2 linked regions of the Cricetulus griseus genome follow. The protein of the gene in region 1 interacts with the protein of each later gene in a pairwise test. Links are inferred from orthologs where the notes say so. Each region holds a gene or a part of one and is shown in the gene's direction. Other genes may lie near its edges.

What was found. The genes of interacting proteins can lie anywhere in the genome.
Region 2: the proteins of Neil2 (region 1) and Meox1 interact in binary tests that used the Homo sapiens proteins (3 or more experiments, as listed by UniProt). The two-hybrid records come from large-scale screens. The link is inferred for Cricetulus griseus from reciprocal best matches to the Homo sapiens genes NEIL2 and MEOX1.

The regions. Positions count from the first base shown.
Region 1 is NW_023276807.1:218,223,657-218,228,440, reverse strand, and holds the start of Neil2 (endonuclease 8-like 2), read left to right. Parts: upstream 1-1,569; 5' UTR 1,570-4,265; coding exon 4,266-4,463; intron 4,464-4,784. UniProt on the Homo sapiens protein: Involved in base excision repair of DNA damaged by oxidation or by mutagenic agents. Has DNA glycosylase activity towards 5-hydroxyuracil and other oxidized derivatives of cytosine with a preference for mismatched double-stranded DNA (DNA bubbles).
Region 2 is NC_048600.1:116,217,142-116,220,502, forward strand, and holds part of Meox1 (homeobox protein MOX-1), read left to right. Parts: intron 1-2,240; coding exon 2,241-2,413; intron 2,414-3,361. UniProt on the Homo sapiens protein: Mesodermal transcription factor that plays a key role in somitogenesis and is specifically required for sclerotome development. Required for maintenance of the sclerotome polarity and formation of the cranio-cervical joints.

The DNA.
Region 1 (4,784 bases):
ACCACATGAGGGCGCACGCCTTATCTCTCTACAAGCATTACAACTAGTTTTCCAGCTGTTAAATCTGAGATCAGCCCCAACAAATTTTTCTTCCACTCAAAAGCATTACTGCTTATTGAGCCCTGAGGCCTGCTAGATACTGATAGCTTTGGCTAGCCTCGGGAGAACATTTGTACATCACTGCAATCACAAAGATATGGATTTGTTGAAATTCTCGTAACTACTATAGAACCGGTCTACTGAATTTCAGAATCCCACTCCCATAGAACAAGAAACTTACAAGCTAGGGAGACCCTACACAGCCTGAGTTGAACAATTTTTAGCTTATGAGCATTTCCTAACTAATATCTCAAGCATCCCCTCAACAAAAACAAGACCGCCCAGCATTGGGGGGAGGGAGCTTGTCAGAAAGGCACACTGCTTCTCATAATGTAAATGTCTCTGAGTGACTTACATACACATCAGAGTTTGCAAAATATGGCTTTATGTCTATAACACCATGGCACAGATGTCCCATTTAGAGACTAGATTTAGGTATTATGGCTGGCTTGTTTTCCCACAGCCAATGACAAGGCAGTCTAGGTAAAGATTTTACAAGGTGTCTTACATAATGCATGCTCAGCGAACTAAAAAGGTGATTTTAAGTGACTGCAGCAAATTGTGAACCATTCATTTTCTCGATTGTGTGTGTAACCCCCTGGCACAGGAGTGCACTGTATCCTGTAGCAGATGTGGGAAAGTATACTCCAGTACTTACACATAAATAGGTACCCCCCCCTGCAAATGCCCCGCCCTCAAGCTCACCTTCTGCCTCTAAAAGGACCTTTGCCCCTCAGATGTCAGAGGCCTCCTGCTCTCTGCCCTACCGCAGGTAGGTGGAAGGCTAGCTGAACTGCTCATTGAGGCAGGGCTGTCTTCCCTGTGCTGGCCAAGCCCTCCTCGAGCCCTCAGTTCCCAGGTTCAGGGTCTGACACCTTAGCCACCTCCTGTAGGCCTACTCAAGAGTTCTCCAAAAGTCCCTTAACTTCCTGTAAAGGACTCCCACCCTTCTTGGAGTCCTGTCTTTGAACAACCTGCTACCATCTTTATTCTTCCAAATAAAAATTTTAATACACAATAAAAAATTTAAAGAGTATAGTAAAAATTCAAACATCATTAAAATAATATAAAGTAAACCAAACCTCAGTCTTTCAAAGCTTTACAGACCAGGTTTGCTAGCTGTGTTTAAAATTCCGGCACTTTAAAGACTAAGACTGGAGGAGTTCAAGGGTAGCCAGGGTTACACGGTGAGCTCCAAGCCAGCCTGCATTAGACTGTGAGGCTTTGTCTGAAAAAGCCAAAACCCGTCATGTTTGTCTTGGCCTGAACCACGCAAGACCACTGGCTTCTGAGCGCTTGCCTTTTCTTGGTACCAGTCCACTCTCTCCTGGATCCTGGGAGTTCGCAAGCTGGCGGGGTGGGGTGGGAGGAGAGAGTAACGGAGGGGCTGAGAGGGGTGGTGGTGGGAGGTATGGGGTTAGGGCTGGGGCGAATACACTCCGAGAGTGCCTCAAGCGAGGGTAAAAGCTTAGAGAGTTGCAAGTCGGCTGGTCACTGCCGGCAGGAGACAGCAGCATCCCTCCTACCTATGGGAGCAGCCTGAGTAGAAGAGCCTGCAGTCCCGATCTCGAGGCGAACCCCCATCTCCAGGACAGAAGCCCGCAGCTCTCCAGCTCGGGGTGCACCTCACCTCCAGCACCCCCAGGGTAAAAACTTACAGCTCCTTCATCGCGAAAGGCTCCCATCTCCAGCGCTCCCAGGAGAGAAGCCCGCAGCCCTACTCCCAACTCCCGCCCCCAACGAGCTCGGTCCCTGGAGTGCCAGAAGCAGCTTCCCGCCAACCCCAGGAACTCTGCGGCCCCAGGCCACCCCGCCTCCCGCGCTCAAGCCTATTGAACCGGTCGGAAGTTCCCCGTCCCCTGTGCCCCATCCCCAGTCCTCCGCGCTCCCCGCCCCAGTCCGGAACTGGAAGACGCTGGCGGATTGCACTCCTGCTGCGGTCGCTGGGACCCCGGATCCCGGGGAGTGCGGCTCTGCGAGCCCCTCGGCCCCCTCCCCACCTTCCCGGGACTGCACTCGTGCACGTTTTCAACACAACTTTCTTTTTAATCTTTGGTGAAAAGTGAATTACAGAAAAATTAAGCAGTGTCTCTTATGGACACGCGCAGCCAGGTCGTATTTTTGTTTTTGTTGATCACGTTGCCTTCCGCTCCCCTCTCGCCCCCGCCCTCGTGACCTTCTCGTGTTTGCTCCCGCTTCAGTCACACTGAAGATGCCTCAGACTCCGCCTGGCACCTAAAACGCTGCTTGGCCACCGAAGAGGGACCACGTTCTGCTTGCCTGGCCACCTCGCCCTACCAACGAAGCACAAGGTTCTTATTTTCTCATCTTATCTCTTTCCTAACCATCAAAGCATGCCCATGGGCGGAGAGTTGTTTGTTTTGATACAGGGTCTACGTGTAGCCAGGGTTCGCTGTGTAGACCAGGGTGGCCTCCAGTTCCCTGAAATCCTCCTGCCTCTGCCTCTGAGGGTGCTAGGATTAAAGACTTGCACCACCACACCCGGCTCACGGTAGAGATTTTAAGATTACGGTTCATTGCACAGGCGGGCTTTTCCAGAACCTTCTCTGAGGAAGGCCAGGCCGACTCTGAACTGAGAGGTGGTTAGGGTGCCAGTACCTGGCAAGCTGCCTTCCAGCCCAGTAGTTTCCCCTGGAGTAGATGAATAGTTACCACATTTCCAAGAGTGTGGGTGGGAATCCAAGTGTGGACAAATTTAAGTATTGCATTGAAGCTTGGGACTTAGCGCAGTTGGTAGAGGGATTGCCTAGCTTGCAAGATGCACTGTTTGAGGATAAAGCAGGAGTGGTGGTACTGTTCCGTAATAACAGTACTATGGGGGTAGAGGCCATCCATGCACTATAGAGTGGACTATAGGCTTCTTGGCATCTGAAATATGGGCAAACCTGTCTCAAGACAGAAAAGAAAAACAACATTATTGAATATGTTGCTTATGAATTATGAGAATTCGTGGAATGACTAAGATATTCTGTTTATCCCGATTCTCTGGTTAAAATGTATGTTTTAAGTGTCTTAGGGAGACACTTAATTCCAGTACTCACACTTGGGAGACTCAGGCAGGAGGATTGCTCAGAGTTCAAGACCAGCCTGGGGTACAGAGTGAGTCTTGAAAAACACCACCACCACCAAAAGCAAGACAAACAACAACAACAACAACAAAAAACAACCAACTGCTTTTAGAAACACTGAAATAATAACTACCTGCCATGTCCCTTTGTCAGTTTTCACCATGATTTATGGAGCCTAGTGCCGGTGAGTGGCTGATAAGGTTAGAGGGAACCTTGTGTGTGTGTGTGTGTGTGTGTGTGTATGTGTTTTTTGGGGGGGGGCGTGTTGTGACTTCCACTCAGTGAAAGCAGGATGTAGGCCACTCAGGCTGCCTCACCCTGGTGCCTCTCAGTGACTTTGGGTGATTGAGAACAGGGAAGGAAGGGGTGACAGGCAGTCCAGCCTTGCTTTTACTGTGGCTTTTCAGCCATCAGGCATATTATCAGGAGTTAAGCTGGTTGGTAGCTCTCTTGCTGGCTGGTGTCTGCTTGTCAGTTTGGAGATCTGCCAGCACTGTGGTCACAGATAGAAAACCACTCTAAGAGACCTGGTAAGTAGTGAGTATCTCCCTCCCCTGAGGTGGCCCTGAGAGAGCCAGATCCAAGTATGGATAAGTGAGCAGAGGGTTGATTGCTTTGGGGGTGGGACGGGGAAAGACAGAAAACATGGAGATGAGTTAGAGGTCTAATATACCCGGCAAAAAGGAATGAGGAGTTGTTGCAGGCCTGTAATCCTAGCGCTTGGGAGCACAGCTGGAACTACGTAGTACATAGTAGTCACCTATAGCTGCATAACAAGACTCTGTCTCAAGAAATGAAACAAATAAGGAGTGGCAGACCATTGAGGTGGCGTGCCATTGAAGTAGACAGTGCCTGCTACATGACACCAAGCATGCTATGTTGATTATATTTGCTGCATGGATATTGGGTGAGGGACTAGGAAGAGAAACCATTGCTGCGAAGCTGGCCCTGAACCCTGCCCCAGCTCAGTCTTCTCTGAGATCTGATCCCCCTACCTCAGTCAGGCTCCAGATTTGGAATATATACTCTTGAAGTGGTTGACCCAAACTGGCTCCTTGGGGTACAACACCATCAGACATGCTAGAGAGGACCGAGCTAAATGGGTGTGGTCTCCTTTGCCACTTTCTATCTGCAGAGATGCCAGAAGGGCCATCCGTGAGGAAGTTTCACCATCTTGTCTCCCCTTTTGTGGGCCAGAAGGTAGTCAAGACTGGGGGCAGCAGTAAGAAGCTATGCCCCGACTCCTTCCAGTCTCTATGGCTCCAGGATGCCCAGGTGAGTTTTGCTTTCCCCAGGTCTCACTCCACCTCCCCAGGTGACATCTCATGACGTTTTATGTTTAAGCATTGGACAGCCATGCTAGGACTGCATGTGGCCCTGCTCTTTCAGTGTGATGTTTCCTGTCACAATGGAATGGGAACGTGAAGAACATACAAAAAGGGCCTGAAGACCCCATGCATAATCTGGAGAACTTCTCTCCTTGTCTTACCTGCATCTTTGGTGTGGTGCCCGTGACCCCCATAGGCCAGCTGCCAAGTAAGGAATGAGCACAGTTGAAGATTTGGATTCAGACCTCATCCTGACTGGGAGCCAGAA
Region 2 (3,361 bases), on another chromosome or scaffold:
TTTTTTTCAATAACAGCGTCTCATGGAACTGAAACATTGGAACAATTAATATCTTGATGTTTGCCCTATAACTTAGGTTTTAAGAGCATTCCCACACACATTAGTTTATCCAGGTCTTCCCGAAGACATGGAAACCAAGATTCCTGTGTTGCGTTTTTTGAGAGTATAGCCTTGGCAAGCCAGGCATGGTGCATTGACCCAGCACTTGAGAAGTGGAGGCAGGAAGATGAATTCTTCCACTGCCGTTCAAGCTTGAGGCCAGCCCGAACATGAAATTCTGTCTTTAAAAAGATTAGCTTTGAAAGTAGGTGCTTTATTTTCTCCACTTTCTTGGGAAAAAGATCAGTTGAGATTGAATCCCCATTAAAACTCCCCTGGCCCATCCACTCCCTGCAACTGCGACAAAGAGGGGCTGGGAAAATCCGTGGCCCCGGGACAGGGGTTCCCCAGCTTCCTGGCCTCAACTGGCTGAGATGTACTTGGGGAGGCCTTCGCATCCGCTGCTTCGTGACCGACACTGCCGGGCTTGCCGCCAGGAGGGTTAGTGGCGCTGGCAGTGGCCAAGGCCAGAGGACTCCTAGGGGACCCGCCCCGGGGCTGCACATCCTTCCAGTCCAGACCACGCTGCGGCTGCTCCAGCATCCATGACGGGTCTGGGCCCACCTTTTCTGGCCAGGAGCCAGTGGCTGGCTCACCCCCTCCCTTAGCCTGTGGGGGGACTCCACCGTGGACCCCATTGGGAGGTGAGCGCCCTCCCCCACCCCACTCCTGTGACTTCCAGCCACCCTCCTGGTTTCTCCCCAGCCCAGACAGCCGGATGAGGAGATGACAGCTAAAAAAAAAAACCTAAAGTACAAACAGGTTGCCTGAGAGGGGAAGCAGCCAGGATCAGAGTTACAAATGGGATCTCAGGGTTCAAGTGGGGTCCCCAGCCATCTCCACAAGTTGGCTTCGAAGCTGAGGGTGTAGTGCTTTCCCTTGCCTGACTCATCGGGCCTGCATCCTTTCCTGCAGGTGCTCAAAGTCTCTGAGGACTAAGGACCTCAGCTAGGTGTGTACCAATGTAATTAGATAGAGCACAGCTCGCATAAAACATATTTCCTGACCCAGGGTCTCCAAGACTAAAAAGAGGTATGGAAGAGAAAGCCCGATGTCTTATGTCCCCCTGCCCAGGCAGGAAGGGTTCCTGTGGCAGTTGACTGTCCAGTCTTGTTAGTTGTTAGTTAATTCTACAGATGTGTTCGTCCCCTGCCTATGGCCTCTGTCACTACAGCTGTCAACGGAGAGGCACAGCCAGCAGCCAGTTCTTGAAATAGGAAGGCCTTTTCATTCTAGATGCAGTCTGTCCATCTGCACCAGACTTCACAGTCTGTGAACTGTGAACAAAACTATCTCATACTGGGACAGTGTATGAATCAAATCGCCTGGGTCCTCCCCCACTTAGCAATTAGGTGAATTCATTCTTGTGTTTGGTCTGTAAAACATGATCAATACTGAAACCACTCAGTTGGATTAGTGTGGAGAGGATGAAGCAAATGCAGGTAGGGACACTGTTTCCTGGCCCTGTCATGGGTCAGGACTGAACCCCTATGTCTAACAGAAGCCCAAGAGTTCCAGAAGGTTCTCCAGACTTGCCCTTCTGGAGCAGACTCCAGTGTGTATGACCAGCTTCCCTGTCCCGTTGACACTGCTGGGGCCCAGGGAATATTCCAGCAATCTGGTCTTAAAGCAGTGGTGTATAACCTTGACCCTGCACCGGAATGATCAGGAGGGCTTGTCAAAACAGGTTGCTGTGGGGTTGGGGTGGGCGATGCTTCAGCTTTTAGCACTAACTGGGTACAGAGACTTCAGTCAAGCCCAGTTTCATGTGCCTTGGAGAAATCTTGTGGGTGTGTTAGGGGGAGGGGGTTCTGAATGCACCTGAGACTGGGACTAAAAATATTTCTTGAGCATCTTAAGAATGACAGAGGCTGGGGCTGGAGAGATGGCTCAGAGGTTAAGAGCACTGACTGCTCTTCCAGAGGTCCTGGGTTCAATTCTCAGCACCCATATGGCAGCTCACAAACTGTCTGTAACTTGAGTTCACACCAATGCACATAAAATAAAGTTAAATAAATCATAAAAAAAAAGAATGACAGATGCCACAGAATGCTGCCCAGCTATTTAACGGACTAATGGAAGGGAACTGAGTCCCTGGCGGCTCATTCATGTCTCCTCCATTTGGGGCCTTCTCTTCACAGACAACCAGGAGAATGGAGGAAAACCGGAAGGTAGCAGCAAGGCCCGGAAGGAAAGGACCGCCTTCACCAAGGAGCAGTTGCGGGAGCTAGAGGCTGAGTTCGCCCACCATAACTACCTGACCAGGCTGCGTAGATACGAGATCGCAGTCAACCTGGACCTTTCAGAGCGGCAGGTGGGGTCCCTGGCTTGTCAGAGCTTCTCTGCTGTCCATTCATCTCCCGTTACATGGCCCCTGCCTGAACACCGTTCCTTTCCTCTACCCAGCCAGTGGTTCTCAACCACTACTGTGCCTGACAATCAACCATCTCAGGGAGAATTATCAGAGTTCTACTCATGGAGGTGACTGTAATTGGTCTGGGATGGAACTTAGGCAGCCCAGGTTTTCAAAGGCCTCCCAGGTAACTCTCATGTGACCAAGGATTAGAACAGCTGAGATCTGATTTCCCCCAAACTTGAACCAGCATTTGCCTCCGATTCACCTAGGCAACTGTTCAAATGGAGATTCTGAAAACCAAGTGTTGTGGCACCTACCTGTAAACCCCAGCACTTGGGAGGTAGAGACAGGAGGATTGTGAGCTCAAGGCTACCCTGGGCACAGGGCACTGAGTCCAGCCTAAGGAACTATCTTCAAGGAAATCAAAAGATGTGCTGGGACCGGACGTTGGTGGCGCACACCTTTAATCCCAGCACTCGGGAGGCAGAGGCAGGCAGATCTCTGTGAGTTCGAGGCTAGCCTGGTCTCCAGAGATAGTGCCAGGATAGGCTTCAAAGCCACACAAAGAAACCCTGTCTCGAAAAACCAAAAAAAAAAAAAAAAAAAAAGATGGGGCTGGGGATGTAGCTCACGGGTAGAGTGTTTGCCTAGCATGCAGGAAGCCCTGGGTTTAATCCCCACATCACAAACAGGGCATGGTATCATGTCTGTAATGCCAGCACACTGGGGAGGCTGAAGTTAGAGGACCATACGTTCAAGGCCATCTTTAGCTGCATAATGAATTCAAGGCCAGCCTGAGCTACATGAGATCCAATTTAAAAAAAAAAAAAAGGGTAAAAATCTAGATTCCAGGGAACAAATTTGCAGTAATAATGAGTAGAACTGAGAATCTGCATCTGAATTAGT